Lepisosteus oculatus: one gene and its partner. The protein of the gene in region 1 purifies or fractionates together with the protein of each later gene. This does not show direct contact. Links are inferred from orthologs where the notes say so. Each region holds a gene or a part of one and is shown in the gene's direction. Other genes may lie near its edges. The genes, in order: cdc123 and eif2s2.

Region 1 (16,298 bases):
TTTAAAAAACACTTACCATTAATTTTGTCTTGAAAGTGATGTAGAGGTATAAGCAGTACTTCAACAAACTCTGCAATTAGCAAACTAGAATTAGCAGTCACTCAAAACTGTCAATTTATGGCATTCAGATATCCTTCCATCCATTTTCTAACCATATAATCCAATACAGTCACAGGAGAACTAGAGCCTATCCCAGCAAGCAACTGGTGCAAGGCAGGGCACACCCGGGACAGGACACCAGTCCCTCGCAGGGCAGACACACACACTCACACTCACACTGAGGGCCATAATTAATCTACCAGTATGTCTTTGTATTGTGGGAAGAAACCAAAGTACCTGGGGGAACATGGGGCGGACATACAAACAGCACCCCAGGTCTGAAACTGAGGCAGCACTGCTAACTGCTGCACCACTCCCATTGAAATATGTAAAGCAAAAACATACCTCCTTCCGCTGAAAGAGAAGAAAAAAAAAGTTATTTAGAGGAGTTTTAAGATGCATTTATAAAAAATTTGGAAATACAGTCCAAAAACAAAAAAGCCTTTCTTACCAAGTTGTTGTGCTGGCCTGATGTTTTCTGGATCATCTCCATTGATGTTAACGCTGACTATATGAGTTGTACAATTTGACAAACCGGGATCAATACAAGTTACTAAAAAGAAATAAAAAATGTATTCAAGGACGAGGAAGAAAAAATATATTTCTAGAACGTAAAATAGACATTTCCATCACATCCCTATGATTCCTACAGCTGTAGAATTTATTTAACAGATTCATTATGAATTTACATGTAATGCCTAATCCAGAGAGGAAGACAGGCAACTGGCAGTACCAGTATAAATTAAAACACAAAGTATTGCAATCTGCCTTCCAGAAATTGAAACAAAAATATATTTTAAATATTATTACAGATAAACACTTTTACCAGGACTTTAAATCTTCAGTGCCCACCGTCAAAATTTACTAACGCTTGTAAACCTATGAACTTTTTACATCATAATCAGCTGATTTCACTGTAAGTCTGAAGGTAGTGGTTTTCAGAATCACTGCGAATAGAATACAGTACACAAACTTACTGAAAATGAAGGATTATGAACTAAGAATTGTGAGGGAAACAGTTATATTTACAACAAGCCAAACACACACACAGAAACTCTACCTGGAGAAATTCCTACTACTTCTCCTTTATACCCAGTTTCCTCTTGCAGTTCCCTCAAAGCTGCAGCTTCTGCGCTTTCATTTTCATCGATGAGGCCTAAAAGATTATAAACACTCTCACAAAACGTACAGCAAGAAGCCTTAGGGCTCTAGAGTGAAAGCTGCCTGGTTTGATTTAACAAAACTACAAACTTCACAGAAAGTCTTCTAGAAAGAGGTGAAATCACCCTTCTGCTAAAACCATTTTCAAATTTCTATCTAACCCCTTCACTGTACATAAATCAATTTGGTAAAGATTCGCTATTCATTAGGAAAAGTATGGGGGTTGCTGATAATCACATGATGTATTTTTTATTTGAAATTATTAAACATTCTTTATAAAGTACCGATGTTTAGAATGTTCTTCAGAGTGTATGGAATGAGATGAAGAAACCAGTAGCACAAAAAACCCAAGAACATTTAAGAAACATGAGGCTTGATATTATATTACATTCTTAATACTTGAGGACAAACCGTGGACAGTAATTTCAACTGGAAATATTCTTAGGAGACCTTACAATTTATTCATTCTTCCTGTTCCAAAAGGATTTATTTAATAACTGAAACAAAATGCAAGCCTTTATTAAAATCCACAATTGCACCATGAAAATGTATTTAAATTCATTCCAATTTAAGGTTTAGAATTGTACAAAGCGAGAAAAGAGAAAACAGAACTTTACCTGCTGGAAATTCCAGACAGTAGCACCCCATTGGCGGCCGAAACTGTTTTACCATTACAACACAGTCATAATGGAGAGTTCTTTTCAGAACGGCAAATATGCCCACTCCTAATTGGAAGTAAAGTACAGAAGATTAACATTTTCGTTCCACTCCATCCAACAAAGGGTTGCATAGGCAAGCAACAGGCACAAGGCATTCGCAGAGCCCCGCGCAGGGCACTCACAGACACAAACTCCCACACAGCAACAAAAGGGCCAGTTTTCCCAGACGCCGTTGAACTTACTGTACCAATCTGTCTTGGACTGAGGAAACCCACACTAACGCAGGTGGTACATGCAAACTCCACGCACACAGCACTGAATGCAGGGTCCAGCTAACCACTGCGCCAACACGCCACCAGATTTAACGTTTTCAACATACATACAGTACTAGATGCACAGTTTTTCCATTTGATCTTTCAATCAGTGTCAGATACACTTTAACCTACAAATTTACATACCGTCAGCTGAGGAATTCTTTTTTGTTGTCCTCTTCACCGTTTCCCAGATTCTAATTCAAGACAAACACAGAACTGATGAAAAAGTTAAAAAACTGCAATTACTTTTCACCATTTCCCATACTGCAGCTAATTGTTTATAAAAATTGATCCAATTATGCACTGCCAGGTGCATGCCTTTACTCAACATGATAACGAACTGCACAAAGATAACGAAAGATATTACTTTAAGTATTTTCCCATGTAGAGTACTCACTTTATCACTTTATCACTATAGTAACTGTAAGTAACCCATTCTAGAGACAGTAAACCCTTGGTTTAACAGAATAATAGGGATGATGAATTGTCTGATATTGCCAAAAGTCGGATCTATCAAGAATTATGTTTTTTCAACCCCAGAACAATATATATATACACTTTAGGTGGGGAGCTGTGTCAGCATGTGTAGGCTGCAAAGGAACAAGTAATAGGTTTATTCCATGCTGAAAAGAGAAAAAAGAAAACACAATGTTTAGGCCGTGGAGCCTTCTTCAGGCTAAACTATGATTCAGTAATAAGGAGGATTAATTTTTCTGAGAAAATTTAAAACCAAATAAGAAAGTTAATCTTTTTTACCATGTTACAATTACTGAAACATTTCTATCAAACCTACCTTACATTTCCAGAAGGGTCAACATAGGTGGTCTTTTCAAATTTGACCCATTTTCCTTCTGTAATTACCTGTACAGAAAGCATTGTATTATGCATTAGTCCAGGTTAATAGGATGAATAGTCCCCTACTACATTGACTACTAGGCCTTCCTCGCTCTGTCATACTTTCATATATATAGGAAGCAAAAGTACTCATCACTCAGCTGACTTTCTCGAATTCCCAAGTGAAGCCCATGATAACATTCGTCAATGAAAAACAGAAAATAACATCTAATCAAATCTGCTTTGTTTAGTGGAAACCCACTGATTGCTCTGTCTCCATCCCGGTTTTAAAATTACACTCAATCCTGCTGACTGACAAAGATGTCCTGAGATAACAAGAAGATAAGGATGATTAAGTGTTCCTATTCAATGGTTTGCACACCTCTTCTTTAAGGACTGACGATGTAGAGCTCTTAGATGAAGCACCCCCTTCGTGGCTCATGTTTGTAGCCCTGGTGAATGAAGCAGTGACAGTCTCAAAGTCCAGACGATGCAACTTTGCAATCAATATTATCGCAGCAGGATTGCCTAGCAAGAAGGACAAGCAAAACAAATGGTCAAAATAATATTTTTATTTTTCATGTATCAGTGGAGGATTGTGTCATAACTGGACAGGAAATAATATTGCCTTAATACAGACTTTTAGCAAGTAATTGACATACATTCATACATTGAATAATCTCTATTTCACAAAAGAAAACTAGGGTTCCATTTTTTTGCTGCCTCACAAACAAGCAGTTGAAACTGTGCCTACACTTTTCTGGTGAGCCTGCAGATGCACTTATCTGTGAAGTAACCAAAACAAAAACAACAAATAATAAATTCACCATTAATGGTACTGGTTTTCGTTTAATATCTAACCCGAAAAAGACCCATTCTTTGCGATTATTAATTAAAAAATTGTATTCTAAATTGCCAGTTTATGTTTTAATATGAAAGGAAAGATAGCACATTAGAAAAAAACATCACCGACAAAGTGAAGATGAGAAGAACATTACTATACCATGGAATATCACACAATTCAGTTTACACTAAGAATTAGGCTAACCTGAGATTCTAAGTACAATGGATGATAATACAAAGGGATGTAGTCAAATGCATCCAGGATAATAAAAGTACATAAGCTGAAACTACATGGAAGTCCATTGAAAACAGAACAAGAGGCAATGCTTTACACAGAGGTTTGTGGGAGCATGGAACAAGCTACCAAACTGTGTTGTTGGACCCAATACCCTGGTTTATTCAAGAAACAGCTGGGTTTGTACCCCATCTTATGTTGTTATGGTTCCCTACATCAGTTCAATAAATGCTAACATTTTTAAGTGTTTCAGGGTTGGAAATGATTTAGGACAGATCTCTACACAGAGCTGAAACTGAACATGAGCTTCTTCGTATTATTCTTGACCCTGACCACTCTTTTAAAAAGCATATTTGTAATGCATCTAACGTTTGCAGCATAACAAATATATACACCAATTGTATGTATTTTTAGTGTAAGCTACTGTATGTCTCATTTTATCCATTTACTGTTGTAAAGGTATATTATTATGACGTGAGACGTGCTATGTAAAAAAATCTTATTACAAAAAATCTTTCTTAAGACGTTTTCAGATTTTTCAGTCAAGACAATTTTAGGATTATGAACTACAAACATAAAACATGACAGATTTTTTTGATTTCTTATGAATAAAAAACGATGATTAATCTCCATGTCGTAGGAATTGGGTGCCTCTTCATTGTTATCATGAACTTAATTCAGACAGGGAGTCCCAATGTTTTTTGGATGTACTTTACAGAGATTCAGCTACAGTACAATCTACAAACGTATTACTACCACTGCCTGTACGGTTCATTCATCTTACATTTTCTACCCCTCGGTACACTGCACCTGGCTTCAATAAAGCCTCGCAGAGTTACCGCTGATAAATAGCTCTCTTAGCAGTGATTACCTCAGCTTTTGGGAAAAACGGAGTGAAGAGGAATATTTCTTTTCTAGTAGACTCTAATACTTTAAACAACCGTTTAAAGCGCATGATACTTGTGATCTGAATAATTCAATCCTCTGAACAACATAACCCAAAGAAGAAACATTATTAAAACAGTCGATTACAATTAATATACACAGAACATAATAGACATCCATACCTTATTCGCCAGCAACCAAGATACTTTCATCAGTGTGATCACAGCACTGCACTAATGCTACCCATTCCCCCCAACGTAGTGCAACTCGAAACACCTCCCCCTGAGCGCCACTCCTTCTTGAATCTCGCGTCAGCTAATAAAATTCAGTTTAGACAAAATGCACGCATATAAGTTAATAAGATAAATATTTTAACAATATGAATATCACAAAGCTTCTTTGAAAAAAAAGTTTTAAATATATGTAGATTGGTGGAATCCGATAGGTACGACCGCTGTTCTCCTCAGTGGAGGAGTTGTTTTCTATCGGACACTTCCTGTCAATAGACGAAGCATGAAGAAAGAGCAGGTTGTAAACTGTCAGTTTTCGGTGTGGTACACATTATTCAAGAAGCACACGATTAAAAGGTATGACATTTACTTTTCCTGTATGTAATTATTAAAATCCCAGCGTAGAGCTTGATCTTACAATGCTGATGTGTTACACTGATATCATCTAATTTGTTACTGAACCGGCAGTGCTTGTTATCGACGCTTAAGTTTAAAATTATTTTTTAAGAAGAACTCGGACTTTCAGTTTTTCCGTCTATGTAATAAGCATGAATGACCATTAATACCCAATGCTTGTGTTAACACTCTTTGTTTTTGTGTTACAGTTTAATTCTTCCTTTGCCACAGAATGTGATCGATTATTTACTGGATGACGGCACTCTTGTGGTTTCAGGGAGGTACGTTTGTCTAGGCTGGGTGTTTTTTCGCTCTTCAGATCTACTCTAGACTTTGAATCTTCCACATCTCACAATTCCTATCTGTTTTTCGTAGTTACTGGTACTATAGAAAATCTGAATTATATGAGGAATCTGCTAATAGGCTAATTTTTAAGTCACGGGAAAGTGCTGTCATTTGTTTGGTGTATTCAGTGTAACTCAGAAATGTATCTGTTAAGCAAGTTATGTGAAGTCAAGCATTGTAATGAATTATAGTGGAAGGGCTAAATGAAATCAAAAACATCCATGAAGATCATGATTTTGTCTATATGGGTCCATGACTCATAACTTGACTAAAAGAAGATTATTAGCACATGATTCTACGTTTTACACGCACGCACTATGTACGTGTGCAAGTAAAATTCTGACTCAGGTCAGAAAGCCCAGACTGCCTGTTTAACTGGGAGCTTTGTTTTCCATTAGTTGTAGTATGCGCAGATTACCAGCAGATGGCTCCAGCAAGCATGGACGCTAACTGGCTGCGTGCACTTCAGGTTGAGCTTTATGGGACTAGATCTCGGCCGGCCTTATTCTCAGGGATCCGCCTGGCCAGCGTGATGAATCACAGCTCAGTCCCTCTAAGAGGAGCCTTTAATTCTCTGCTATTACTGACTGTGTTAGTCATTTATTTATTTTTGTTGTCGTAACCCATTTTGTGGCCAAGGCTGAAATCCTCCCCAACCTTGACACGTCCATATGTTAACATTGTGTTCCATCTTCTTAATGTCCATGTGGCCACCCTGATTTATCCGGTTATTTATTACCTGAAGTGGGACATTACTGTTTAACCACTGTGTGGAAGTGTGGAAGTGCTGGGATCTGCTAATTTAGCCTTTAACAAAGGTCATGCTAAGATATAATGAAGCTGACTTGCTTGCACAGCTCCAGTGACTTACACTACATAACAAAAGGTAGGACCAACACCCATAAACAATCAAACCATAAACATGATAAAGCAGATCAATGTCTGCTGCATCTCAAAGGACAGGACTTCAAATAGGACAAAGCAGTTCAACTTTTGCTACATTTCAAAGGACAGAATAAATATACATAACAAGCCATAAAACTGTGAAACTAAGACTTCTTTCTGTACAGTATATAAGGGTTGGAAACCTCTTTCAGGGGCTCTGTTCTGCAGGACAGACCCAGTGGATGTTGCTGTCCTTATTGAGCTCAATAAAATTGAATCTGCACAAAACTGTGTCCTGCTCCTCTGATGAAGAATTCCCCACAACAATTCTGCTCCATCCCATTTTGCCTAATTTATACGCTGTTTCAGAAATCCATCTCTGTGTTACCATGAAATTGTCTCTCAGTATCTATTCTTGTTCATCTTTATCTGTTGTCAGCTATTTCATGCTGTATGTTTTAGGGCAGTAGTGTGGAGAAGTGGTTAGGGACTGCAGACTGGAGCATTGTGGGTTCAGATCTCGACTACAATACAGCTATTGTGCCTCTGAGCAAGATAGTTCACTCACATTGCTCCAGTAAATGCCCTGTTGTACAAAAGAATGTGAGAGGGTCAAGGGTCAGCAGGGAAAAATGACTCGGAGGTCACAAAGGTGAAACCCGGGGACAGTGCATCTACTGTAAATCAGAGCCCATGAAGCTCTTTTTCATACAAATGTTTGTGGGAGTCAGGAACAAGCTTGTTAAAACTGATACCCTCACTTCCTTCAGAAAATGATGGGATGAGATCAGTTGGTTTTGAGCACCCAAACAAGTGAGAAAGGATGAACAGCCTCCTTTCTATTTGTAACCTTTTGTGTGTTCTTATGTTTACAGTCTTTAAAAATCCTAAGCTGATACACGGCACAGGAGAGACACCAACAACCTTGACATTTGGTCTTGTAAATCTTTCAAATAAATCATTTTCATTTGGCTTCCATGCAATCGTCGTGGAATTTAAAGTAGACAATTTGAGAAATGCTACAATGCATCTTTCAGATTGAATTTGTTCCTTTTGTTGTCACATCCTTTGAGGTTTTAGTTTCTCCAGGAAGACAAGGGACTGTATAAATGAATAAGTTATTGTAATTTTGCTCTTTTTTTAACGCTATATGAATAGTCTGTTATTCTGTTTTTTGCAGAGTAGATCCCCCTCAGAATTCTCAGACAAACAATAGTGACTGTGATGAGGAAGACGATATACAGGTACAATTTTAGTCATAGTATTCATGTGCGGTATAGCTACTGTTGGTACAAATATATAGTCATATAGTCATCTGTCAGTATACATATATTATACTTTTTCAAATAAAGTATTTAATATTTAATGCACAATATTTAATTAATATACAGTATGTCATGCAAATTTATAACATAAATAAATGTATGTTTAGTTTTGTAATTTAAAGTAGTAAATGTCTTATATTTTTCCTTAACCCATCCAGAAACATTCCCAGTTACAAATAGTTTCTAATGCCTTAGGACCGTTAAAGGCAAGTTCAGTACTTTTGTTAAAGGAACACTAGATGCTTATTGTCTGAGAAGACATTACGTGTTAAACTGGTATGTAGGTTTAACCTGACAATACCCTGATCAAGACGAGCTTGAAGGTGTTTGTTTAGAACCTTATAAGCCAGCTCTCTTAGCCAGGGCTTGTGTGGCTCTGCTCAGTCTGTCACTATAGATATTATCCCATAAGTTTACAAAATGGAGATTGGGGCAAGAATTCTGGACATCTTGTCGATTGTTTTTTTTTTAAAATATATATTTTGGTTTTGTTGTAATAGTGGTCAGATGACGAGACTACATCAACGGTTACTGTAAGTATTAAAAATATTTCATTTGAGTTAGCTTATTATCAGCAGGCTTAAATGGTAATCGGTTAACCGTTTCTATTACACTGTGACTAAGTCTTTTAGATATAGGTGCCTTTGTTTACTATATCTGCTCCAAGTGTACAGACTGCAAGAGCAACTCTTCATATTTGCTTAAGGTATCATTCTCCTTGCTAGTTAGGTAATGGATATACCAATCATTAAAACTCATCTGTTTGTAGTTGTAGTTGTTATCTGTATTTCTTCTTTAAGTATGATAAACAATTGCCTCGATTACAAATTAAGGCATCCTGACTGTATATTTAGTTCTTTAAAGATGTATAGTGATAACTTTTGTTTGTGTTAAGTTTGAAAGCCCTGATAGTTTCCCTTTGTGGTTAAGGCTCCTGAATTCCCCGAGTTCCATGCCAAAGTACAGGAAGCAATCAACGCTCTTGGGGGCAGCATCTTCCCGAAGCTGAACTGGAGTGCTCCAAGGGTAAGGCTTAAATATCAGTAAAGATTTTACTGTATTGGACATTTTGGTTTTAGTTTCTCCAACATGCATTTAAATCTGGGAACTGGAGGTACTTCTTTCCCCAAAGGGTGGTGGGAGCATGGAACATGTTTGTGAAGCAGATACCCGATATCTTTCAAGAAACGGCTGGATGACATATTCTTGACAAGCCACCTGGGTTTACTTTCCTTAATCTTGGTGAATTGTCCAGTTACATTCAGTCTGGTTTTGTTTCATAGGCAAAACTGAGGTAAAAACCATCCCTTCTGACAACTGTTTATTACCCTTGATTTATTACAAGGCTGTTAAACTTCTTAATGTAGTCCCTATTCAAGCCCATATAAAAGATATGACTTTTCAGTGATTAGTATAATATGCCCATGCTTCTGATATTATTCTGATATTATTTTCAGAAAGGTTTTATTTCAAACCTGCATTCTTCACTTTAAAACCTTGAAGACTTAAAGAGAGAATAAATAACCCTTCTTTTGTGCATTATTTTACTTTCTTCCTTATATATCTGTATATACGTAGGATGCTAACTGGATTGCAATGAACAGTTCTTTAAGATGCCAGAGCCTGAGTGACATTTTTCTGCTTTTCAAGAGTTCAGACTTCATCACCCATGACTTCACTCAGCCGTAAGTGCTCCTATTTGAAGTGCTTTACGACTATTATTAATAAGCAGATTTTATAATCATTGTGCTGTTTCAACATATTTAGGAGCTATTCCCGTGCTCTTAAGTACTGTCTTTTAAAGCCCAAATGTTATCTCATACCCTTAAGTACTGTATTTTAACGACTAAACGCTACTGACCTGAATGCATTAACTTCTAATAACTCATTCAAATCCCTTTTGTCGGCATCCAATTTTAAAATTAGTGTTCTTTGCCATAGGAAAATCTAAAAATCAATATGTTCAGTGTCCACAAAGCCTTTTGAGTTTGGGATTTTAAAACAATTTACCCCAGAATGGCTTTATCCATTAATGGTAAAGGTCAGCCTGCATCTCCTGATTTCATTCCCACAGTCTCATAGTGACCTTCGCTTTCTCTGTGTTCAGCTCTTCACTGGTATTGATTGCTGCCTTTGTGAAGATCTTTTTTTTTCAGGTGCAGCAGAATAGGACTGCAGTAAGTGGCAATGTCCACAGAGTGCAGTGATTTATTTCAGAGTATAAAAGGCAGCTTTTCATTCCCAAAAAATGTGTAGTGGCCTTTTTCTCTTCCCGTGTCTTGCCTGCTTTGGGACTATTGAACTTCCAAAGAAGAAGGAAGAAAATTAGTTTTGTGAGATGAATCCATGTTCACTTTGATTAGTTTTTTTTTTGCCTGGACCCCCACAAGGTGGACTGACTTCAAAAACAGCGTGGAGTTGTGTTTAGTGCTTTGGACTGAGACCAGAGGATCTTGGCTTCAGATCCTGGGTGGCACGATGTTAGTGTACCCTTGAGCAAAAACATTTCACTCAAAGCGCTCCAGTACATTTCACTGCTGTAAAAAATGGGGCTCCAGCTCATCATTGTGAATATGAATTTGTTCTGATAAAATGTCCTCTTCCATCACCAGTCAAGGTAGGCTCAGATATGGAGCGTGCACAGTTCTTCCTGTTGAGTTTATAACACTGCTGCGCGGAACTTGCAAAGTTTAGGCTTATAATTTGACTACTGAATCAGTAACAATCATAGTTCTTTTGTGCATTACAAAATTCTCAGCCTCATTGCCTCGTGTATTAGTTTTGTTTTGTTTTGTTAATTATTTCAGAGTTAACAGGGTAAACTTGTTTACAACGTGTTGTTTTCAGGTTCCTTCGTTGTAATGATGATTCCCCAGATCCATCAATAAACTACGAGGTGGGTGGCTGTACTGAAGGCAGTGTCATTCTCTACCCTGCCTCATCAAGCACCCATTTCCCTTTCACTGTGTTGTGAATCTTACTTTCTTGGGCTAATGCTGATTACTTCATTGAACTCATCGCATGCATGTTAATTGTTACATGAAATACAAATTGTAGTAATTTTAAATTACTACATCCCAGACAGATCTCGTTCAGATCTGATTTCTGACCAAGTGGAACTGCTTTACAGTAATAAATGACTCTGCAGCACCTGAAAACATACTGTGAGGAAAGTTAAGAAGTGTTTTTGCATGGGAGGGGACAGTAACAGTAACAGGTTGAGGGGGTGCCTTTAATGGGAGAAATTAAGGTCTCATTCTACTGCAGTTGTCTCAGCTCACCTTATATTAAAAGTCGCAGCACACTGAGATGAGAATTTATATCCTATTTGCTGAAGGTATTCCAATGGGGGAGCATACAGCTATTAACATATTTAATATGCTAAACAAATATTTTGTTTTTCAAGCTGGTCCTGAGAAAATGGTGTGAATTGATCCCTGGTGGAGAGTTCAGATGTTTTGTCAAGGAAAACAAGCTAATAGGTATGGAGAGTATTTTCCTTTATAAGTGCAGTGATCCTGTAGAGTTTTATGCCCTTGGATGTGGATGTTGTAAAGGAGGGGTTGGAATTCATTAAGAGGTTTTATTATTTGTCTATACAAATATAAACAGAAACGTTAGAAATTTGTGCTTATTACATATATAATAATACCCACTGTCCCAACTTGAAAGGCTAATATATATCAGAGTCCTGAACTGCACAGAATCAAATTAAAAGAGAAAGTGGGCATTGATTTATTGTCATTGAATCTTCAGACGAGAAAAAATAACATTAATAAAAATGAAGATCCACCTATTCTTGACATGATGTCTTCTGTATCGAACATCTTAAAGTGTTTAGTGGATCCCAAAGGTTGGAAATATCATTTTCTATTGCTTACCATAGTATTCCAAAATAAAAGGACTGCGCTTCTCTGTTTGCTGTTTCTTGTTTGTTTTATAATGTCTGGAATGGAATGTCCTATGGCTTTATAGATCAGAACAGGCCCTTGTGTTTATTTACTCAACTGGCCTCCCAAATCTCCACCAAATTTGGTAAATCACTGAAGTAGTGGAAAATCTTGGCAGATAGCTATAGGAGCTGTACCCTGCTGGTGCTATACTGTATATTAATGTATGACGGAAGCAAGTAAGGGTGGTTAATGATCTGTAACTACGAATGTTATACAAGAGTAGGTCCTGATGTGTTTTACTTTTTAGGAATCTCACAGAGAGATTACACACAGCACTATGATCACATTTCACATCAGGAAGATGACATTTGTAGATCAATCCAGGATTTCTTCAGGGACAATATTCAGTACAAGTTCCTGGATGAGGACTGTAAGTATGTGGAAATAATTAATTAACCGTAACAAGTGTGTTGTAGGGAATACTTAATGAAAATCCTGAACATTAAATGTACTTTTTCAGGGTTTTACACCTTTCTCTTGACAGTGTCATTGTTGACATCAGTATCTGACAAGCTTAATCTACTAGTGTTGCAATGTCAGGTGTCATTAATCTAGTTTGTGAAATACTGAAAAAGACATTCTGCAGTTCTTCTTTTCATTGACCGTTGATCTGGATATACCATTTTTATGTTGTACATTTTACCTTTTTATAGGTCCCTTGGTAATGTTAGCTGAATTACTGCAAAATAAGAGATAATGTCACAATGACATTAGAGATAAGAAAAGTTCATTATAAGCTTTTATTATTATTTGGTGCTTTTTTGCTCCTTTTTTCCATCCATCTGTCCTGCCATTTTTCCATTTTAAATTCTGCTTCCTTCATAAATTTAGAATCACTGGTTTCTTTCCTTCTTTTGTATCTGTAAATTTGAATTTGCCAAAGAAAAACCCCAGACTGCATATACCCTCACAAAAGTATATGATCAAGGAACATGATGTTATGGTCATGCTGAGTTTTAGATTACCATTCTAATATCTGTGGCTGTGACCTGGATGAATTTATTGGGTTTAAAAGGAAAGAATGATTAGTGAGTCTAAAAGACAGAAGAAAGTTATTTTTCATTATCAAATAAAATGTTGTTTTTTTCCACAGTTGTGATTGATGTCTACAGAGATAGTCAGGTTAGTAAATGTTTTATATTCTGTGCTTTCATTAATAACAAAAATAGAAAGTAGTAAAAGCTTCGGTTGTGAACTGGTTAAAGGTTACATTCTCTGCAGTATGTGTGCTAAGGAAAGCTCTTGAACTCGGTCTTTTTCTGATGGTGTTTTTTCAGGGTAGGGTGTGGTTGATAGATCTGAACCCGTTTGGTGAGGTGACGGACTCGTTGCTGTTCACCTGGGAAGAGCTGACTTCAGGAAACAGTCTCAGAGGGGACCACGTTGAAGGGGAAAATACAGATCAGGTGCGAATTTGTGGTAGATGAGCCTGCAATTAAGAAAAAGAGAATTTAACTTTCCCAGTCGTCAGTGGATGTATGCTGTGTCTACCTAGATGAATCCAGTCCTGGAGAGCCTTTGTGTGTCTTTGTGTTTGTTTTCTGAGTTCCTTTTATAAAAAGATCTCGAAAACCTGCAGACACACTGGCCCTCCAGGACCAAAATTTGACTCCCATGGTGTAGACCCTGTACATAGCCTTTATACTGTTTTTACATACTGTAAATGTCTTAATTTCCTTACTTTTTTGCTTCTAGCACTCATATTTACTTATATAATAAATCAGGTACGATTGCTGCAGGTGTTGGATATAAAAATATTGATGTAACAAAACTATAACAAGACCGAGGCTGTGCTTATAGGCATTAAACATCAGCTTTGGTGAATTGTTTGTCAGTGAATTCAGCACAAATGATGATGTTGTTGCTGAAATCAGACCCTTGATGGAAATAGAAACCATGGTGTTGTCATTTGATTACGATATATATGTCCTCTACGCTAAAGATCAGCTTTAAAATAATCCAGAATTATGCACATTCTTTTCAAAATTTGAATACATATACATTTATTTGTAAGAAGATACAAATGCAGCAGAGCACAAACAGATAGCATGAAATCACATCTGATGAGAAGTTACGTTTAAGGCTACTTTATGCTAACATGTAGTGCATGTCCTACCTTAAAGTACTCTGCATCAGCACATAACTCCCATATAAATTGTGCTGGTTCCCTATGACATTTGCAGTGGACATTAAAGGTTCACTTGTGGAGGCTTGGAAAGCACTCGGAAAGGACTGTGGGAGTGCAGAACAAGATACCCAGCGATACCCTGGCTTCTGTGATGAAACAGCCGGATGAGATCCAATTGGCTATTAACTACCGAATGGCCTCCTCTTGTTCTGATGTTCTTATTTTTTCCCCTTTTGGGGGAAAAAAGCAGTAGTTTGGTTACAGATGATGGTGAAGTATACTGTTATGTTTTCTGATGATGGAATGGAACGTAATTTTGGGTATGAATATGATGATTTCTAGCTTTGAAACACTTCCGTTTGACTTGTCTTCGATGGTGTTCAAAGATGCCCCAATAAGGTTAATCAGCCACTGTGCAGTGGCCGCTGTGCCTTACACTCTGTGTCATGACTGTCCGACAGGACGCCCCAGCATTCCGATACACCACCAGTGAGGTGACGGTGCAGCCAAGCCCCTGCCTCAGCTACCGGATCCCCAGGGACTTCGTAGATCTCTCCACCGGGGAAGATGCGTACAAACTTATCGACTTCCTCAAGCTGGTAAGAGTCCTTCGCTTCTTTTTGTCTTCCACTCTCATGCTTCTACAGGGAAGATGCAGATAAGCCTGAAAGACAGTTGGAAGGTGGGCTAATGCTAGATCTCCATACATCTGACAAAGGAAGGTGAAGACAAATCATCATATATTTTCCAGAAGCCTTGAAGCCATTCATTTTCTTCTTTCATTCAGGGAGTAGGGATCCACATTGCAAGACAAGTTGCTGAAACTGATGCCCTGTCTGAATAACAACAACAACAATAATAATAATAATATTACTAATAATAATAATAATTGAATAAACAAGGAACTTTCTCCCATGTAATAATGAGTACAGTGTTGAATCATCAGCGAGTGTAGTCAGAAATGCGACCAGAAGACGAGCAGTGTGCTCTGGCGCTCAAAGTCAAGGCAAATTCGCCTGAAGAGGAGTGAGAGGAGTAGCTGAACCACCACCACTGCACTGTGAAACAAAGAAATTACTTTTACGTGCTTGGATAACCTCTTGGATAAAAAACGTTGTGTCTCTTCTTTAATAGACACACAGGTATGCTCTTTCCTTGGCAATGAGTAATGCCAACAAGCATTGAAATCTACTTACAGTAGTTTCTGTAGTTACAGTAGCTACTCAACAGCTGGATGAACGAAAGAGGTGAATAAACACACCTAGGTTTTTAATGGATTTGACATTAAGAATTTTTTCTTGCACTCCTCCACTCCCAGAAGCACTTAGTGCCCCCCAGATTGGGAATCACTGGTTTACACTATCCTTTGAACGCACACCGAAGCAGCTTGTGTCCTGAAATTCATGTCTCTGATGATTCGGAAGGTGATATGCTCTCTCTTCAAAGAGTGCCTCTTTTTTCTTTTTCAGAAAAAAGGTCAGCAAGAGGAATCTGATGAAGAATCTTAAACATTTTGCTAACAGCAATAAAAGACTGTTAAAGGCTGCATTGGTCTGTCAAACTCTATAAATAATAGATCTGGATAGATGAAATAAACCAACAGTCAATACATGCATGAGGAAAGGTCTGGTATTCAGCATGCTGGAAGGAAAATTGTCCCTTAGAATGTTTTTATATGATGGATTTGTAGGGATATATTATATGCATTTTATATAATTACATAAAGATATATATAAATTACAACTCTAGTTAATACAATAAAACACTTGTTTTACTTTTTCCTGCAAATAGGGATGTCAAACATGTATTAAAAAAGTTGATTTGTTTGTGATTTGCAGCTGTAAAGGAAAAAACAATTAGCATGTTTTGTAATGTGATTTATGTTTCTAAATGAGGAAATTATGTTGCTTCCCTAATGAATTAAAACTTCTTAGTATAGGCTTGAAATTAATGTCTGTGTAGATGAAATTAATTTCAATCACTTTGAAAGTAATTGAAAACTAAAT
Region 2 (16,532 bases), on another chromosome or scaffold:
ATGGAGAGATTCAGATGTTTGTGCGAGAAGCTGTATGTGTGACTTAGAATCTCTTGCAATGTTTAATCGATCATGTGGGAATAACAATGTTCAAAATGTTTAAAAGTGACATGAGACTTACAGAAGGTGGAAATGCAGAGGAAAGAGAAGAAATGAATGTTTGACACTATGAATTAGCTTCCTCCTTTTCACTTACCTCAACAATATAAAAGAAAACATTTAATGAAATGTACTGTGTCTCTTGAGATTAAAACAAATTAAATATGATAAAGAATGCCATTGTGTCTGTCTCGCTTACCAAAGACCAAAGACTGGCTTTACAGCTATTTTCAGCAGAGCACCATGGTCAAGAGGGAGTTGAAAGTAACTTTGGGTGAAGTTTAGAATACTTGCTCGTTTTAGATAATGTGCGGATTTGTAATAGAAGCAGTCTGTTTAGGAGATACTGTCTTTTGTAGTTGAAATTTTTATGGCCACATCACATGCTGTAGGGTTACCATATTTAAAATCCTGGTCATGTCTGCCAGCCTGAGGGGGCAAAATGCAAGTCTCTTTTCTTATTGTATTTGTTCCAAACATCCACAGATGTTTGTGTAACTGTGTTGTACTGTTTTTCAGTCCATTCAGTCCATTTCCATTTACAGTATGACCTCTTATTGTGATTTTCCTTGAAGAGCTTGAGTTTGGGCTGACTTTGCCCATTTCCTCTAGGTGTTTTGAATACCTTATCAAGTTCCCACAAACCGCTCATAGTTCCAGGCTCCAGAGGTTTTTTCTTAAACTCTCTGTCCAGTCCAGGAATTACTCTGGTTATTCTTCTCCTGGAGTTGTGGTTTCCAATGTCTTTCTTGTGGTGTGGTGTGTGGAAAGCTGAAGTGAAAACAGTGGTCTGAGAAAGGTCTTAGAAGCATTACCTCATAATTATCATCTCTCTCTAGGGCTTGTCTGCTGATCGCCATGCTTCCTCTCTCTTCTACACAAGCAGAATGTCACTTCCACATATACAAGCAGCCTTTCAAAAAACAGCAGTCCCCATGACGATCTCTACAGTATCTCTTACATACAGGGGACAGGTTCTCTAAAATCAAACTACTGTGTGAAACCTAGTGAGGTGGCGTGAATCACATGGACAGGATGGGCTGCTGTGATCAAGCAAGCATGTAGTGTCTAAAAGAGCTTATTACTCACATTTACTGTATACAACTGCAGTGCGACATTTAAATATTCTTCGCCTTTATTTGTGTCATAGGATCAGGGAAGTTTTATATGCATACAGTATAATTATTACATTTTTAAAAGAAGTTTTATGCACAATCTGTCTCGGTATAAGGGGCTGCAACATTTTGATTCACCACAATGACTAAAGCAGTGACACAAACAATGACTAAAGCAATATGTTTGTAATAAAAGAACAAGTAAACATCAAGAAATATATTTTTGCAAATGTTAACCTGTTGTAGTCACAGAACCAGCTGGCTCTACAAAAGAAATACATTTCATTTAACACTTCTTATCAAAAATGATCCCTTGTATGTTGTTTTATATGTTATTGTAAATATTATATTTTATTCCTTAAACTAATGTGAATTGTGCAAATAGAACCTTAATATAAACTCGGTATTTTAAATGTAATGTACTTCATGTAGACATTTGCGAAACATTTGTTACTTCCTGTCAATTCAAAATACTATACTACTGTTATTTAATAAAACTATAATCCTGAAGTGAAATAAAAAATTGGAAGAAACTGGCAAACTTAAGCAAATTGATTTACAATATAAAGAATCGTACTGTACAGCATGACTTTAATCTTAATATTGGGATTGTGACAGAAAACGTTCAAAGGTAAGAACTGTAACGTCTGTAGCATCTTAGCTCCTCAGTGCTGAGCCACGTGTACAGACCTTACAAGAGCAACTGTACCTTTACCCCTTTAACAGGAAAGGCTGTGGAAGGGCCCTCCCACGGTTCTTCATAATACACAAGAATACAACCCAATTCAATTATGAGAATTTCAGGCCAGATTGAGAAAGATGCCAGCACATTCATTTCTACAACGTGACTTGGCAGTTTAATCCACACATTAATATATATGTGCGTATGGATAATTACAGGGTTTTCTTATATCTGTGTAGAGTCGTCTGTTTGAGAGTTTTCCATCTGGGTTCTCGCACACGAAAGATGAGATATTTTACTTTGTAAGTTTCTGAGGCTGTACTTCAAAATTTGGCATCTTGAAGTTATGTTTTTAACGTACACAGTTAAGAACAAATCCTTGTTGCACAAACGATGCTCACTAGCCCTGTGTTACATCATGTTTTCCAGTTATTCATTCCAACTGTTTTGTTTTACAAACATTATTAAAAAGTTGCAAACATGCAGGTAAAGGTTTATTCCATTCTTTCATAACTTAAACATAGCCTGGAATACAATTACTGTACACCTCCTCTTTACTGAGCCCCCCTCTCCCGACACTGTAGGTAAATTATATGGTGAAGATTCATGCATCTCGCTGCACACTGTCTCCAGCTTAACTCTCTTGACACAGTTAACAAATGCTTTTTTAATGAGCGTGCTTGTAATCAGTTACAATTCACTGTAAACAGTTCTAGAGATACGCACACTATGTACACTTGAAGTGTCTGTTTATTACTGTTTCCAAGCCTTTGATGTTAAATGCTCGATTACTTAGCGTTGTTTTCAACAGAGATTGTGGTTTCTTTTTCTTAGAGCGTTTTCAGGGAAGCTAGCAGTGTTGACAGTTTTTATAACTAATATTATGTGGTTTCGCCTGTGAAAATGCGTCACTGTTCTAGATTAATATACGAGTCTTGGCTGAATTTTTCAGGAAGCCAGATCTGTGTCGTAGAGTCACTGACGTTTGCAAGAAAATACATGGAATAGGCACACCTCACCATGTTTGTTCCTTTTGGCCACCTTCACAATAAACACACCCTATACCTAAATCAGAAAACCTTCAGGAGAAATACTGTTTCACTAACAATAAAACAAAACAGTCCTTATATGCAAAGGCCCTTAAGTGGCTGTCAGCCAATTGCTTCATGGATCCTAAACTAAATTCATGGTCTTTGCTAGTACTGCCCATTATTTCATGGGATTCAAAATGACCTCATGCCTGAGGTTGCAGAACATAGTCAGGATCAGGTGGATGTGATAAACTGACTCTGTAACAATCAGTTGAAAAAGACTGAACCTTCTCCTTTAACCCTGACTTTAACCCTGTCTTTCAACCATTCTCAGTTTTCACTGAAGTGTGTCTTAGTGATAACACAGGGACATGTTCCCACTCTCTGAAATATCATCACCTGCTGTGTCCCAGATCCATCACTCAGTTTGTGATTTAAAGTCACATGGTGGCTGTCTAGGCACTACTGGAGTTAAGTGCTCATGGGTCAAAATGTTACATGTCCATATGGTTTAGTTTCTTATCTATGTTCGCTGCAAAATGAAAGCTTAAACACTGGACATTTAGAAACAACTGTTTTGTCCTCATTTGTAATACAAATGGGACAGTTGTGAGAGGCACAGACTCTTGAAGTATTTACCATGGCTTACTGTAAAACAAACAAAAAATCATTTAGTGCTTTAGGCAGACTTGCTGATAAACCTGCTTTATTTTAACAAAACATTTCTGTGCATACACAATAGTTTATGACATGTTTGAAACATCATAACATGATTTATGAAGTATGATTTTTATTTCAGACTTCATAAAATGTTAGTATAATACTGTTATGACTCTCAGAAATCATTTCCACAGATGTAAGATAAGTAAAATAGAAGACATATTCAGGAATTTACTGTTAGAATGAATTCAGTCTGAAGGATGGCAGTTTAGATCTAGTTAACCAAAGAGCTGTGCACTATTTCTTATAATCTTACATTTTTGCTCTGATATAGTTACCCTGTGCTTTAGTCCTATCTAATATCCATATTTAATGGATATTTTTTAAAAATGAATTTTAAAAAACAAAACAGTTGTGTAATCGAATGGGGTGTTTTTTTTATTTAAACTACCCTTACTAGTTTTAATTTACTTGACATACAGTACCAGTTACAATTTGAGTTTAACAATTTAACAAAAAAAAAACGCATGTATTCATGTAGAACAAGTTATATTGGATCCAAAAGAAAGGTTTATTTTACTCAAAAATATTTACCACATCTGTAAGCAGTATCTATATTTACAGAGTGTGGCTGTTGTAAATACCAGAATTGCTTTTGGTTTCCTTTACATAATTACATTCTGTAGCAATTTCCAGGATTCTTCTTTTTTCTATTTTTTTCTGTTAGAATTGGCAACTTTCTTTAAAATGCAGAGAACTTAATTTTTAATTCTTGCATTCATTATTTATTGCAGTGACAGTGTTGTTATCAGGACGAACCATTGCTTGAGTGCTCCATTCCCGGTGAGTTTGGACAGATCACCAGACTGGATACCTGCCCAGCGGCCTCTGAATAACACCTGATGAGGGGCTTGAAAAAAGTCAGTGACACAAACCTGGGAACTCACAAACGGTCACAACAGAAACTGGGAGGTGCTTCAGAGAACCTCCAGCTGACATGGTGCTTCCACCTAGCAATATGAAACCCTTACAATAAAAAGGGACTTATGAAAATTGGCAAAGGAATAAAAGATTTTGCAGTTGTTTTCTTAGCATATCTGTTCTGAAGACTACTGTAGCCACTGCAAATAAACTCCAGAAATCAGCCTTCTATGTAAACACACAGTGCTTGAATATCGCGGTGTTATGTTATCAGATACACAGATTTACAAAAAATTTTGTGAGAACAAATTGCCGTCCAAATGAAAAACTCTTTGCCCTTTTAGAACATAAAAGGCTTGAGCTCTTAGTCCTAGGGAATGACAAGCAGACCTGTGAGGATTACTTTTATCACATGCAATGAAAGCATGCCTTTGAATTATAGTGAAATAGAAGTAACCTAGTAAATGTTTCTGCATATCAGGCAAGACTCCCGGTGGGACCTGTGAAATTGCTTTGTATACTGAATATCATTTGATTGGAAAGATGTATTTTGTTGTTATTTTAATCAGAATTTCCAGCCATTACAAACTTAATAATTTAGGAAATCTTATTGCAAGTTCATTTTTTTAAGTTGACTTAAATTTAAGATGACTCATAAAGGGGGAGACATATGTTCCATTCCATTCATTCCAATACCCGTAATTTTAATTAGAAAATCATGTCTGAAAAATGTGGATGTCTCATACTGTAGCTGACAGCTACAGTATGAGAAATACTGCATAACTGAAGACCTGGGTTAAAGGGTTACTTAGTGTTCTGCAGGATTTATAGCTCAAAGCAATACTTTAATGTAGTTGTCTCCAATGATGTCTATATCATAGGGATGCCTTCTTGATTACTGTCATAAGTAGCTTTTGTCAGTTCGGACTGATGGGATTTATTCTTGCTTTATCATTTTAGTTAGGATCTGTTAAAAATCAAGCCACAGTCCTCTATCCTGCTCTAATGATGCTCATTTATCTCTGTTGTTCTACTCCTCAGCTGAGTGAAGACTCTGGTTAAAACTACATAACACCCTGAATTATCTCTTTCTGACAACAACATGATCATTTACTTTTAAGAATAATCCTTGAGAGTTTGTGAGTCAGACCTGTAATAGTTATTTGATTTGTCACTGCTCAGCTGCCAGAAGAAAATATAAAATCTTGTGTGGCTTCAAAGGCTTTTGTGTCCTTGGTTCGATTCCGAAGGCAGCCCTCAGTGTGAAGTTTGCATCTTCTCCGCGTGGCCACATGTCTGAACTGGTGGTGTGCCGGTTTACTCCCTCGGGAATCTGCAGTTCTTTTCTTTACTCTCTCTGTGTGGTGATGGACTGATACTCCAGGAGTCATCCCAACTTGCCTATTGTCAGCTGGGTGAGGCTCCAGTTTGCCATGACTGCACTGGACTTAGTGGTCATTGAAAATGGACTGCCGGATACTGTAAAGTACTGAACAATTCTTCCGTAAGCTGAGAAGAATCGAGGAAAAGGAATTTATGCTCAATATCATGTTTAGTTCAAAAAGCCAGACATTAGGTCCCCCTTGCATTACCTCAATTACCTCTGGGGAAAACACTACACCACAGTCACTCAGACAGGGATACAATGTTTCACCCCACTTCCACAGCAGACTTTGGCAGATATAAGCTGCTTTACAGAGCTCTAGACAGAGGACATACAGATATAACAGCTCTAAACATCATGACAGATTCATAACACGGAAGGTAGTACTAACACCGCTGGTATACCCCGCCTACCCTTGTGTAAAGAGGGAGTTCAGTCTTAGGACTTGAATGACACACTGCAGTGTGTGGAACTACTACTGTAACCAGACTGGGACCCCTATCATCAGGAGGAGGGACTGCCACTGGCAATATAGTGTCAGCACTAACACAGCAGTGCAAACCCAAATATTTAGGGTAGCTATAAATATGAGCAGTATGATCAGCATTGAAAATTTTCAAGGGCTGTTTTTCTAAGTTTTTCTTAAGAATTATGCAGCTATGCAGCCAACCTAAACCATTCCTGATTTAAAAAAAAGGGTTTTATAGACGTGCACCATAATTACAGGAATATGTATTTTGTTTGAAAAAGCAGAACACTCCACTTTAAATAAAGCATCTCAGTTCCCACGAGCTTGACTTCCAGCTCTTTGCACTTACACAGTACATTCCAAAGGCAAAATACACATGTGCTTTCTGACACACAGAGCGCCTGCACAATATCATCTCACTCTTCATATGTCAGTGGTTTTGAGCACTGAGCTCCTTGGTTCACAGACTGTACTATAAGAGGCAAGCCCCATAGGAAGCTATGTGCAATTAAAAACATCTGGAAACTGTGAGAGCCTTGTTTGAAATTGACTCAGAGAAGACAATTTCCAATGGCTAACAAAGCAATTTTTTTACTTGACGTACTAGCTGATGTTTTCTGTCAGAACTGATGGTTAACATTTTAAATATTTTTGCAGATTACATTTAGAAAAGAAGGAGCCTGTTGAGCAGGTGACCTTTTGGCAATCGATATATATTAGAACAACTATATGTATAAATATGTTTTAATTCATACATAATTCTCTGTTCTAACTGATAACTCTGATACTTCTGATTCGGCTGATGTTTTTATGAAATATATGTTGTTGAAGCATATATTGTTTTAATTAAAACCATTCATTTTCTAGCCCCTTTATCCAATACAGGGTCGGAGGGGAAGCAGCACCTGTCATGGCAAGCAACAGGCACAAGGCCGGCTACGCCCTGGATAGGACGCCAGTCCATCACAGGGCACATACATACTAGGGCCAATGTTTCCAGCAATCAATTAACCTATGTCTTTGAGCTCTGGGAGAAAACCAGAGCACCCAGAGGAAACCCACATGAACGTGGGAAGGACATGCAAATTCCACACTGACAGTGCCCCAAGAACTGGAGCCAGGACCCCGACTCTGCAAGTACCAACTGTACTAACCACTGTGCCACTCTGCTGCCATCCATTAAACACATGCTAAATATAGATACCTCGACCATCTCCAAGATGGGTCAGAAGTAGAATATATATATATAAGACCTCAGCAGTATCAGGCATGTTAGTGGAAGTACAAGCCCCTGGCTCTGTGCACAGAGTGTGAGACCGCTACCCTGGCTCTGTGCACAGAGTGTGAGACCGCTACCCTGGCTCTGTGCACAGAGTGAGAGACCGCTACCCTGGCTCTGTGCACAGAGTGTGAGACCGCTACCCTGGCTCTGTGCACAGAGTGTGAGACCGCTACCCTGGCTCTGTGCACAGAGTGAGAGACCGCTCCCCTGGCTCTGTGCACAGAGTGTGAGACCGCTACCCTGGCTCTGTGCACAGAGTGTGAGACCGCTACCCTGGCTCTGTGCACAGAGTGAGAGACCGCTACCCTGGCTCTGTGCACAGAGTGAGAGACCGCTACCCTGGCTCTGTGCACAGAGTGAGAGACCGCTACCCTGGCTCTGTGCACAGAGTGTGAGACCGCTACCCTGGCTCTGTGCACAGAGTGAGAGACCGCTACCCTGGCTCTGTGCACAGAGTGTGAGACCGCTACCCTGGCTCTGTGCACAGAGTGAGAGACCGCTCCCCTGGCTCTGTGCACAGAGTGTGAGACCGCTACCCTGGCTCTGTGCACAGAGTGTGAGACCGCTACCCTGGCTCTGTGCACAGAGTGAGAGACCGCTACCCTGGCTCTGTGCACAGAGTGAGAGACCGCTACCCTGGCTCTGTGCACAGAGTGAGAGACCGCTACCCTGGCTCTGTGCACAGAGTGTGAGACCGCTACCCTGGCTCTGTGCACAGAGTGAGAGACCGCTACCCTGGCTCTGTGCACAGAGTGAGAGACCGCTACCCTGGCTCTGTGCACAGAGTGAGAGACCGCTCCCCTGGCTCTGTGCACAGAGTGAGAGACCGCTACCCTGGCTCTGTGCACAGAGTGAGAGACCGCTCCCCTGGCTCTGTGCACAGAGTGTGAGACCGCTACCCTGGCTCTGTGCACAGAGTGTGAGACCGCTACCCTGGCTCTGTGCACAGAGTGAGAGACCGCTACCCTGGCTCTGTGCACAGAGTGAGAGACCGCTACCCTGGCTCTGTGCACAGAGTGAGAGACCGCTACCCTGGCTCTGTGCACAGAGTGTGAGACCGCTACCCTGGCTCTGTGCACAGAGTGTGAGACCGCTACCCTGGCTCTGTGCACAGAGTGAGAGACCGCTACCCTGGCTCTGTGCACAGAGTGAGAGACCGCTACCCTGGCTCTGTGCACAGAGTGTGAGACCGCTACCCTGGCTCTGTGCACAGAGTGTGAGACCGCTACCCTGGCTCTGAAGCCCCTGAGCTGCAGCCAGTCCCTACGCATAATGCATGATGAGAACAGGAATATGAGACATACAGCACAGTAATTGCAGTAAAAGATCATGAATGGCTGCAGGTGCAAAACTTATTCATAACCAATTTGTTCATCAGGTTTTATTTTTTGAATGTTTTTAATGTAAGTGTCAGAATGTTCTTGATTTGTTTACCAATCATTGCATCAGCGAGATGGGAGGAAATGTGGAATAATGCTCAGGAATAGGTTTCTTAGAAATTACTGTTGTTGGACATGTGTGGTAAGGGAATGGTGATTTTCAGGCCTACCACAGATTTCACTGGAATAAGGGATGATGAAATAGGCTACATGTTTGTCACAACTCCCATGTTGGCAATAAGACATTTAATTTGGATGCATTTATTTAGTAAAACAGGCTGATTTTTCTTCTGTTCAGGGGAATCTAAAATAATTGAATATTACATTAGCTTATTTAAATAAAGATGCAAAAATGCAACCAAAAAAAACCCCCCGCAGATTACTCAGAAGAACCGTACAAGCAGCATCTTCCAATGTCCAGGAGCGCGACAGGAAAGAACTACAAGTCCCGCCTGCCGCGCCGCGCATGCGTATTTGGGCCCGGGGCAGCGGCGCCTGCGCGGGTTTCGAAAGCTGACGCAAGCAGCCCGAGGCGCTGAGCGAGAAGAAAAGAGCGAGGACGGAGCAGCGCGAGCGAGGAAATTCGGACAGGGGACGACAGGACGCGAACATGTCTGGCGACGAGGTGAGTGGGGAGCGGAGAGTGTCGTTACGCCGCTGCGTGTGTGTGTGTTGCCTGCACCCCTCGGAGGCCGAGTGAGGGAGGTTGAGTAGCGGACCCGGCGGCGTGAGGCCTAGTCCCCATGTGAGCGAGCGGCCGCCGGCTCCCCACGCCTGCAGAAACCACCCACACGCGTGTCTTCCTGGCTGCACTCACTCACACACACACACGGGAGAACGCAGCTCCGGGAAGGCTCGCCTCTTCGTGGTAGATTTACAGATGAGCTGGGGGGGATTTCCTACACGTTGTCGGAGAACCCAGGGTCGTCTCTCGATGCGAGTTACACGGCGTTTTTGCACTCCCAGGCGAGCAGGCCGTGGCGTTGAACACGTCCCCTGCCTCTTTTGGCAGTTTAGCAAAGTCATTTTCCTGCGTGTCTTCCCGCCTCCCCTCCCGAAACGCCCAAGCGGGGCGACTCTGAAGCCCCCAGCAGCCTGTCGAGAGGGTGTGGGAGCCGGGAGGTGTTCGTGAGCTCAGAAATACCGTCTAATCTTCAAAACCGGGCTGTGAACATACTCCCCTCCCTTCTTTTTGTACAGAACAAGATCATCATATCAGTGTAATGTTTCCACCAGTGGCTGTGAGTGGGTGCCCCTCGTGTGTGCCAGGCTTGTGTATTGTTAATTCGGTGTGAGGCTGCTGGGGAGGGAGGGGGGGTGACCCCTGACATCCGACCCTTGTGTCCCGAGCAGAGCAGTCTACCTGCACGTTGAAGGGTTAATAGGCCGGTGCGCTGGAGCAAGTCCCCCAGTGCTCACAGTCAGCTCTGTGGATTTCACCAGTATGAAGGGTGAAAGGTGAACCAGGAGAGACAAGTATAGACTACAGGAAAGAGCTCAAAACCAAGAACATGAGGCTCTTTTCACTAATAGTTGTGGGAGTGTGGAGCAGGCATGCTGAAGCCGAAGCTCCTGCGTACCAGCCGGGCGGGGTGGGGTGCTCTCGTTTGCAGCCTTTCTCGTCATGACACTGGGAGATGGAAACGGTGATCTCTCGGGTGTTGCTGGGATTCCCGATGTCTCCTCTAGTGGGGCGCCCGCAGCTGGTGCAGTGGAGGTGTGCTGGGGCGCGGTGTCAACTCTTCCTGTTGCCGTGTGCAAGCCGTGGCCGGTCACGGCCCGCGCGCCCCCCCCCCCCCCGCCAGCCCTCACGGCGCTCTGCCCTCTCCCCGCAGATGATCTTTGACCCCACCATGACCAAGAAGAAGAAGAAGAAGAAGAAGCCCTTCATGCTGGAGGAGGAAGGGGGCGACGCCCCCAGCGAAGACACCCAGCAGCCCGAGGCCAACGTGGCCGAGCCGGAGGGGGGCGAGGACAAGGACCTGGAGTTGGACGAGGACGAGGGCAGGAGGAAGGGTGAGGGAGCGTCCCTGCCCCCCTGCCAGCGGAGGAGTGGAGCTGGGATTGGTGTTCAAGAATATTCCCACTAACGTGACCTTCACAGCTCTCATGCCTGTGGCTAGTTAAGACGCATACATATACACGGCTGAGTTAGTTTGACTCTGTTGCTTCCTGTATACTGTTGACCTGCTTCTATTACAAAAGCATAAATTCATGCTTTAATAAAATTCTTAGCATCTGCTATGTGACAGATTTAAATGATCAGTTGTGATTTTAAATGAGCTAATGGTGTTCGATTTGGTTGTTTTCAAACCCAGTTCTCTGTTTAGGTTGTTTGTTTTTTTTCCACTATGCCTTGGAAAGGGCTGTTATGCGTTTTCTTTCTCGGTGTTTTGTCGAGAGCAGAGTCTGAAAGCGTTTTGGTATTCTTTTCAGAGTCTTAATTTTTTTTTCCCCCCCATTTGAAAATTTACAGAGGTGTCAGATGATCTCGATGACCTGAACTTCTTTAACCAGAAGAAAAAGAAAAAGAAGGTTAAAAAGACGTTTGATAATGACCTTGAGGAAGGGATAAAGGTCAGTACCAGAGGAGCACCACTGTGCGTGTTCACATGCGACATCCGAGAAACATGACCAGAGAGGTGGTGCTCCCAGTTTGTAATGAGAAACTGCTCCCCTCTTTTGTGTTAATGTTGTGCATTGGAATAGCTGTTTGTGTTGAGCACCATGAAACTAGAATATCTGTTGGTTGTATTTGTGACTGTCAGGAGACTCAAAGCCAATTTTATTCTTAATACTTAATTTGCGAGTTCAGTGCTGTGCAGAATTCAGCCTATGTTGTAAAGGAGACTTGGCACGGTTGATTTTTGACATGCAGAGCTGTAGTTTGCTGTGGTTTCCTGCCTTCATATATCGGACTGGAGGGGGAACCAAGTCCTAGATACAGAAGCAGGCATCCCGTTCCCTCTGGCCTGATCAGAGCTTGCGTGGGGTCTCTTACTGTTCTCGCGCTCCACCCTGCTGCCCTCAGGAGTTGAAGATTGAGGGGGAGACAGAGGCCATAGAGGATGATGACCTGGATCTGATGCTGCCGACCAAGAAGAAGAAACCCGTCAAGAAGGTGGAGTTCCAGGACGAGAGCGAGCTGCAAGACCGCGACGACGGTAGGTCTGACTGTACGTGCGTCTCGCCGGGAAGTCTGACACGCACTTAAACATGTGGAAATTTCTGGCCAATTGTCTTTTGAAGAGAAACACACGTTGTTTTATGCAGTTATAAGAGAGGGTGCAAATAGCTATTTTGTTTTCAGTTACGTTACTTTTTTTTACAGCAGCGCTGACAGTGCTGGTTTCTGAGATTTGTGCCTTTCAGCCGGTCCCCGGCGCTCGGCACGTCTTGCGGTCACCTTGCGTCTTCTGACGGCCCCCCACAGGGAGGGGGGGCTGTGTGAATGGGTTAGGTGATGCCGCTGACTGTTTTGGCAGCACCCGAGGACGAGGACGGAAAGAATAACGACGGGATCACGTTCAGCGCGCAGACGGGGCCGTCCTGGGCTGGGACGGAGCGGGACTACACTTATGATGAGGTAAGGAGCTCTGCCCACCGCGGCGCAGTGCCCATGCCGGCTCTTCGTCTCCGCAAGCGGCAGGCGCCTCACCTCTCCGTTTTCAATTCGGTTTTTAGCTTGGGTTACGATACACCGGGGTCTTTTTAACCCATGTTTTGAGGAATATGCTTTTATCAGACATTCAACCCAGACTCTGACTATTTGCTTAGTAAGAAACCTGAAGACACTAAGTGTATGGCTATAAGCCTCACCCCAGGGTCCTGTTTAAATACTGCTCTGGGTTTTGCAAAGTCTGTCTCTTCTTAATTTAGCAGTTTGGCAGTTTAAAATAGTTTCTCACTCCTTCCCCTGATCTGCTGTGCGGGGGAGCTGCTGTGTTGCACGAAGGGGTTCCAATCCTGTCTGTAAAGTGTTGTGCGATTGTGTTTGGAGCGGTGGGGTGGCTCTGTGGCTCAGGATCTGTGGCTGGAAGGTTACTGGTTTGTATCCTGCGGTCGGCAGAGGAATCCTACTGTGTTGGGCCCCTGAGCAAGTCCCTTAACCCCAACTGGTCCAGGGGTGCTGTATAAATGGCTGACCCTGCGCTCTGACCTCAAGCTTCTCTCTCTGTGTGTGTCTCTCATGGAGAGCAAGCTGGGGTCTGCGAAAAGACAAATTCCTAATGCAAGAAATTGTATAGGGCAAATAAAGTGATCTTATCTTATCTTTTGATCCTTGTTATAAACTGTGAGCAAATCATCGCCTGAATCTTTTTTTATGCATGACTTCAATCAAGAACAGTTATCCCACTAAACAGGAATAGTATAGGAATAGGAAAGTACGAATCTGGAATTCAAACTGGGTTAATATTGCAGTTCAGGTTCTGAATCCCATGCAGCGGGATGGCTGCTCTCCAGGCCCCCGAGAGCTGTACAGGAGGTAGGAGGTAGGGGCCGCTGCCTTGCGCGCCTGTCCTTCACTCGATGCTCTCGTCTGCAGCTGCTGAACCGCGTCTTCAACATCATGCGCGTGAAGAACCCCGACATGGTGGCGGGAGAGAAGAGGAAGTTTGTCATGAAGCCGCCGCAGGTGGTCCGTGTGGGGACAAAGAAGACGTCTTTCGTCAACTTCACGGATATCTGCAAGCTGTGAGTCCTTCCCTTTCTCTGGTGCAGCTTGACCGTTTAACCAGTTTTTTATTATGGACTGTGGTATTCTCATCTGGCCTGTTAAAAGAGGCAGGCGTTTCAGTGTGACACTTTACCTCTAAGAATGACAGTGCAGCACATATCAAAGCATGCTGCAGAGAGACCAAGGCACACGTCTCTAGTGTAGCGATACCTCAGTTTAACGGAATAGCTTTGTTCCATCTTGTTGGTTCACTACCTGGAACTTAACCAGAGACACCAGGAGGTGTTCCAGCACTTGTGTAGTAGGAAAATATAATTTTCAAAAATAAAGGAAATGGGTTTTAACACATGAACATTGATGTTTAGATCTGCTACTAAGGTCAGTTGATTGCTAGATAACCAGGTGTGGTGCGCCAGGTGTGGGCGACTCACGAGCATCTTCTCCGATTGGCCTCCAATGATGCGAACAAACCCCTCTGCACCCTTTCTGCTGATGCAGCCCGTCTCTCTGTTTTTAATATTTAGAGTTGCTTCACATGATTTCTTGGGTTTGTTTTTTCAATACTTTTGCAAAGAAAAGATGAGCGTTGTTCCCAGAGCGCTAGCAGAGGTATTTTTTCTTTTGCTGAGTAGATACCTTTGTTCAGGGCACCCTTAAGAGCTAGAAAATTTAAATTAGTTGCAAGTATCAGCCACAATAGTATGGGTACAGCAATGAAAAAAGTTGCTGATTAAAACAAAAGATCTATAAAAGATGACTGGTCGCCAGATTATGGCACAAAGCCTACTGTAGGGAAATAAACTGAACTGTTCAAAGTCATCGTACACAGCCCAAGAAACGCAAGCTGTCACAATTAAGGAAACAAACTTTCAGCTGTTTCCAAAAACAGCCAGTCGTCAGCTGTGGATTCAAATACAGTGAGTAGACCTTTTCTAAGGATCATTGCTGCTTTAAACTAATATGTTCTGTGATTGAAAAGGGAGTCAGATAATGGAGGTTAATTATGTACCTGCCTTTGACTGCGCTCCCTGAATGAGACGGGTTGAAAGTAAGTTCTGCTGGCTGCCAGTATTAGTCATTGTTCATGTGTTTGCCTTTTTGCTTCAGTGTGCTGTTCATACGTCTTTGTCTTTTATCTTAGACTTACTGTGTGTAGGAAAAACGCATCTTTTCCGCATTTCATATCGAATTGAAGTGATATCATGCTGGTTTCTTTGCAGTCCACTCTCTGACCCTGCCCTCTAACCCTCTGTGAAATGAGCTTATTGAAATATGGACGTTCGTGTAAGCGGTGAAGTGGAAGTGTGCTGCTGTGCGTTTTGATCCATACTCCCAACGCCCATTGTTTGAGAATGCCGAAAAGCAAAGGGCTATTATTTGTTCGGGATGCGGTCCTTTTCACCAGAGCTCACTCTGACCGCTGTTTCCTTTTCTCTCTTGTTGCTAGATTGCATCGTCAGCCCAAACATCTCTTAGCCTTTTTATTGGCTGAGTTGGGAACGAGGTAAGTTACTGCTGCTGTGTGTCTCCTGTTCGTCTGTGATCTGGGGAAAGAGAATAATGGACTAGGAGTAGAACCTCAAGTCCAGTCCACTCCTTGAGGGAACTGCTGATCACTGATCCCCAAATTGGTCATTCCTGTTTGTCTAGAGAAACCTGTGACAACCTGGCTTGGCCAAGAAATTCTTGTTTTCCTTTTATACTCTTAATGATGGGTTGGATTGATGCACGTTTGTGTCATCTTCACAGTGGTTCCATAGATGGAAACAACCAGCTTGTGATCAAGGGAAGGTTCCAGCAGAAACAGATCGAAAATGTGTTGCGAAGATACATCAGTAAGTGCGACTTCAAAGAAACGTATTTGACTTGACATTGTTTTTATTTTATTATAAGTCCTAAAAATGCTGATAAGGAAAGCTGTTGTGCACTGTCATGCTATGTTTTAGAAGTATAGACCTATATTTCATGGTATGTTTGGCATTTTGATTAAGCCAGCTGTCCTTTCCTTAACCCTTTTATGGTCTGTGGAGATTTAAAGTCCTGGCAAGACTTTGACAGTAGTGGAAATTAGTGATTTGAGGGCTCATAAGGCCTGGTGGGACAGCAGAGTTTTTGTCTACTGACATACTACAGGTGGACACTGGCCAGAGTTAATCTCCCAAAGAGCCAGATGTGAATTTTGTGTCCCTAAAAGAGAAATTTAATCTCAACTGATTTTTTCACACTCTGCAAAGTATGAATAAAAAAAAAGAACAAAAGAACAGGTTTTATAATTTTACCAAACATGGTTTTCAATGGGCGAGTCATTGGAGCTGAATCTTATCGATACACCCTGCTCCTCATCCTTGAAAAATGTAGAAAACTGATAATTGTATGCATTGAAGTAATCATCATATGCACACCTTGTATAAAACAAGCCTTTGACCAGCCTTTAGTTAGCGTATTCAACATGGATACTTTCACCAGTGGTGCGGAGAGACCTGTCCTGTTCCCAGAAAATATTCTATATATATAAGTAATATATAGTGCTCTTTTTCAAAACGAAATCAAGCCATGAAGGCAAGGCTGAAACAGCGCTTGCTGTCGTCAGAGGGACTGGATTTGGAATAGCAGGCTACCAGATTAATTGTGACTCGGTGAGAACTGGGATGCGGTACGTTCCTGCCAGAGTTTGGCCTGGATGCTTTTGAAAACCCTCGGCCGGGTTGTTTGAGGGCTAGCTGCCGCTCGTGTGTGTGTCGTCCGAGCGGCCTGACTGCGTGGCGGCCGCAGAGAGGCCGCCAGCCCGGTGCCCCTGGTGTCTGACGGCGCTGTGCCCTGTGTGCCCCGCAG

Evidence for each region.
Region 2: the proteins of cdc123 (region 1) and eif2s2 purify together in Homo sapiens (affinity purification with mass spectrometry; 4 studies listed by BioGRID and IntAct, counting the BioPlex papers as one, with this or other methods). This does not show direct contact. The link is inferred for Lepisosteus oculatus from reciprocal best matches to the Homo sapiens genes CDC123 and EIF2S2.

What each region holds. Positions count from the first base shown.
Region 1 is NC_090702.1:41,802,893-41,819,190, reverse strand, and holds the start of cdc123 (translation initiation factor eIF2 assembly protein), read left to right. Parts: upstream 1-5,421; 5' UTR 5,422-5,543; coding exon 5,544-5,617; intron 5,618-5,865; coding exon 5,866-5,937; intron 5,938-8,066; coding exon 8,067-8,130; intron 8,131-8,711; coding exon 8,712-8,744; intron 8,745-9,141; coding exon 9,142-9,237; intron 9,238-9,789; coding exon 9,790-9,896; intron 9,897-11,058; coding exon 11,059-11,107; intron 11,108-11,617; coding exon 11,618-11,693; intron 11,694-12,411; coding exon 12,412-12,534; intron 12,535-13,257; coding exon 13,258-13,286; intron 13,287-13,441; coding exon 13,442-13,570; intron 13,571-14,753; coding exon 14,754-14,891; intron 14,892-15,761; coding exon 15,762-15,800; 3' UTR 15,801-16,298. Other genes in the region: nudt5 (ADP-sugar pyrophosphatase), read right to left, coding at 17-70, 542-652, 1,160-1,255, 1,878-1,985, 2,378-2,427, 3,027-3,094, 3,450-3,509. UniProt on the Homo sapiens protein: ATP-dependent protein-folding chaperone for the eIF2 complex. Binds to the gamma subunit of the eIF2 complex which allows the subunit to assemble with the alpha and beta subunits.
Region 2 is NC_090711.1:1,532,945-1,549,476, reverse strand, and holds the start of eif2s2 (eukaryotic translation initiation factor 2 subunit 2), read left to right. Parts: upstream 1-9,507; 5' UTR 9,508-9,632; coding exon 9,633-9,647; intron 9,648-10,857; coding exon 10,858-11,038; intron 11,039-11,498; coding exon 11,499-11,599; intron 11,600-12,053; coding exon 12,054-12,198; intron 12,199-12,507; coding exon 12,508-12,608; intron 12,609-13,568; coding exon 13,569-13,717; intron 13,718-15,147; coding exon 15,148-15,204; intron 15,205-15,449; coding exon 15,450-15,535; intron 15,536-16,532.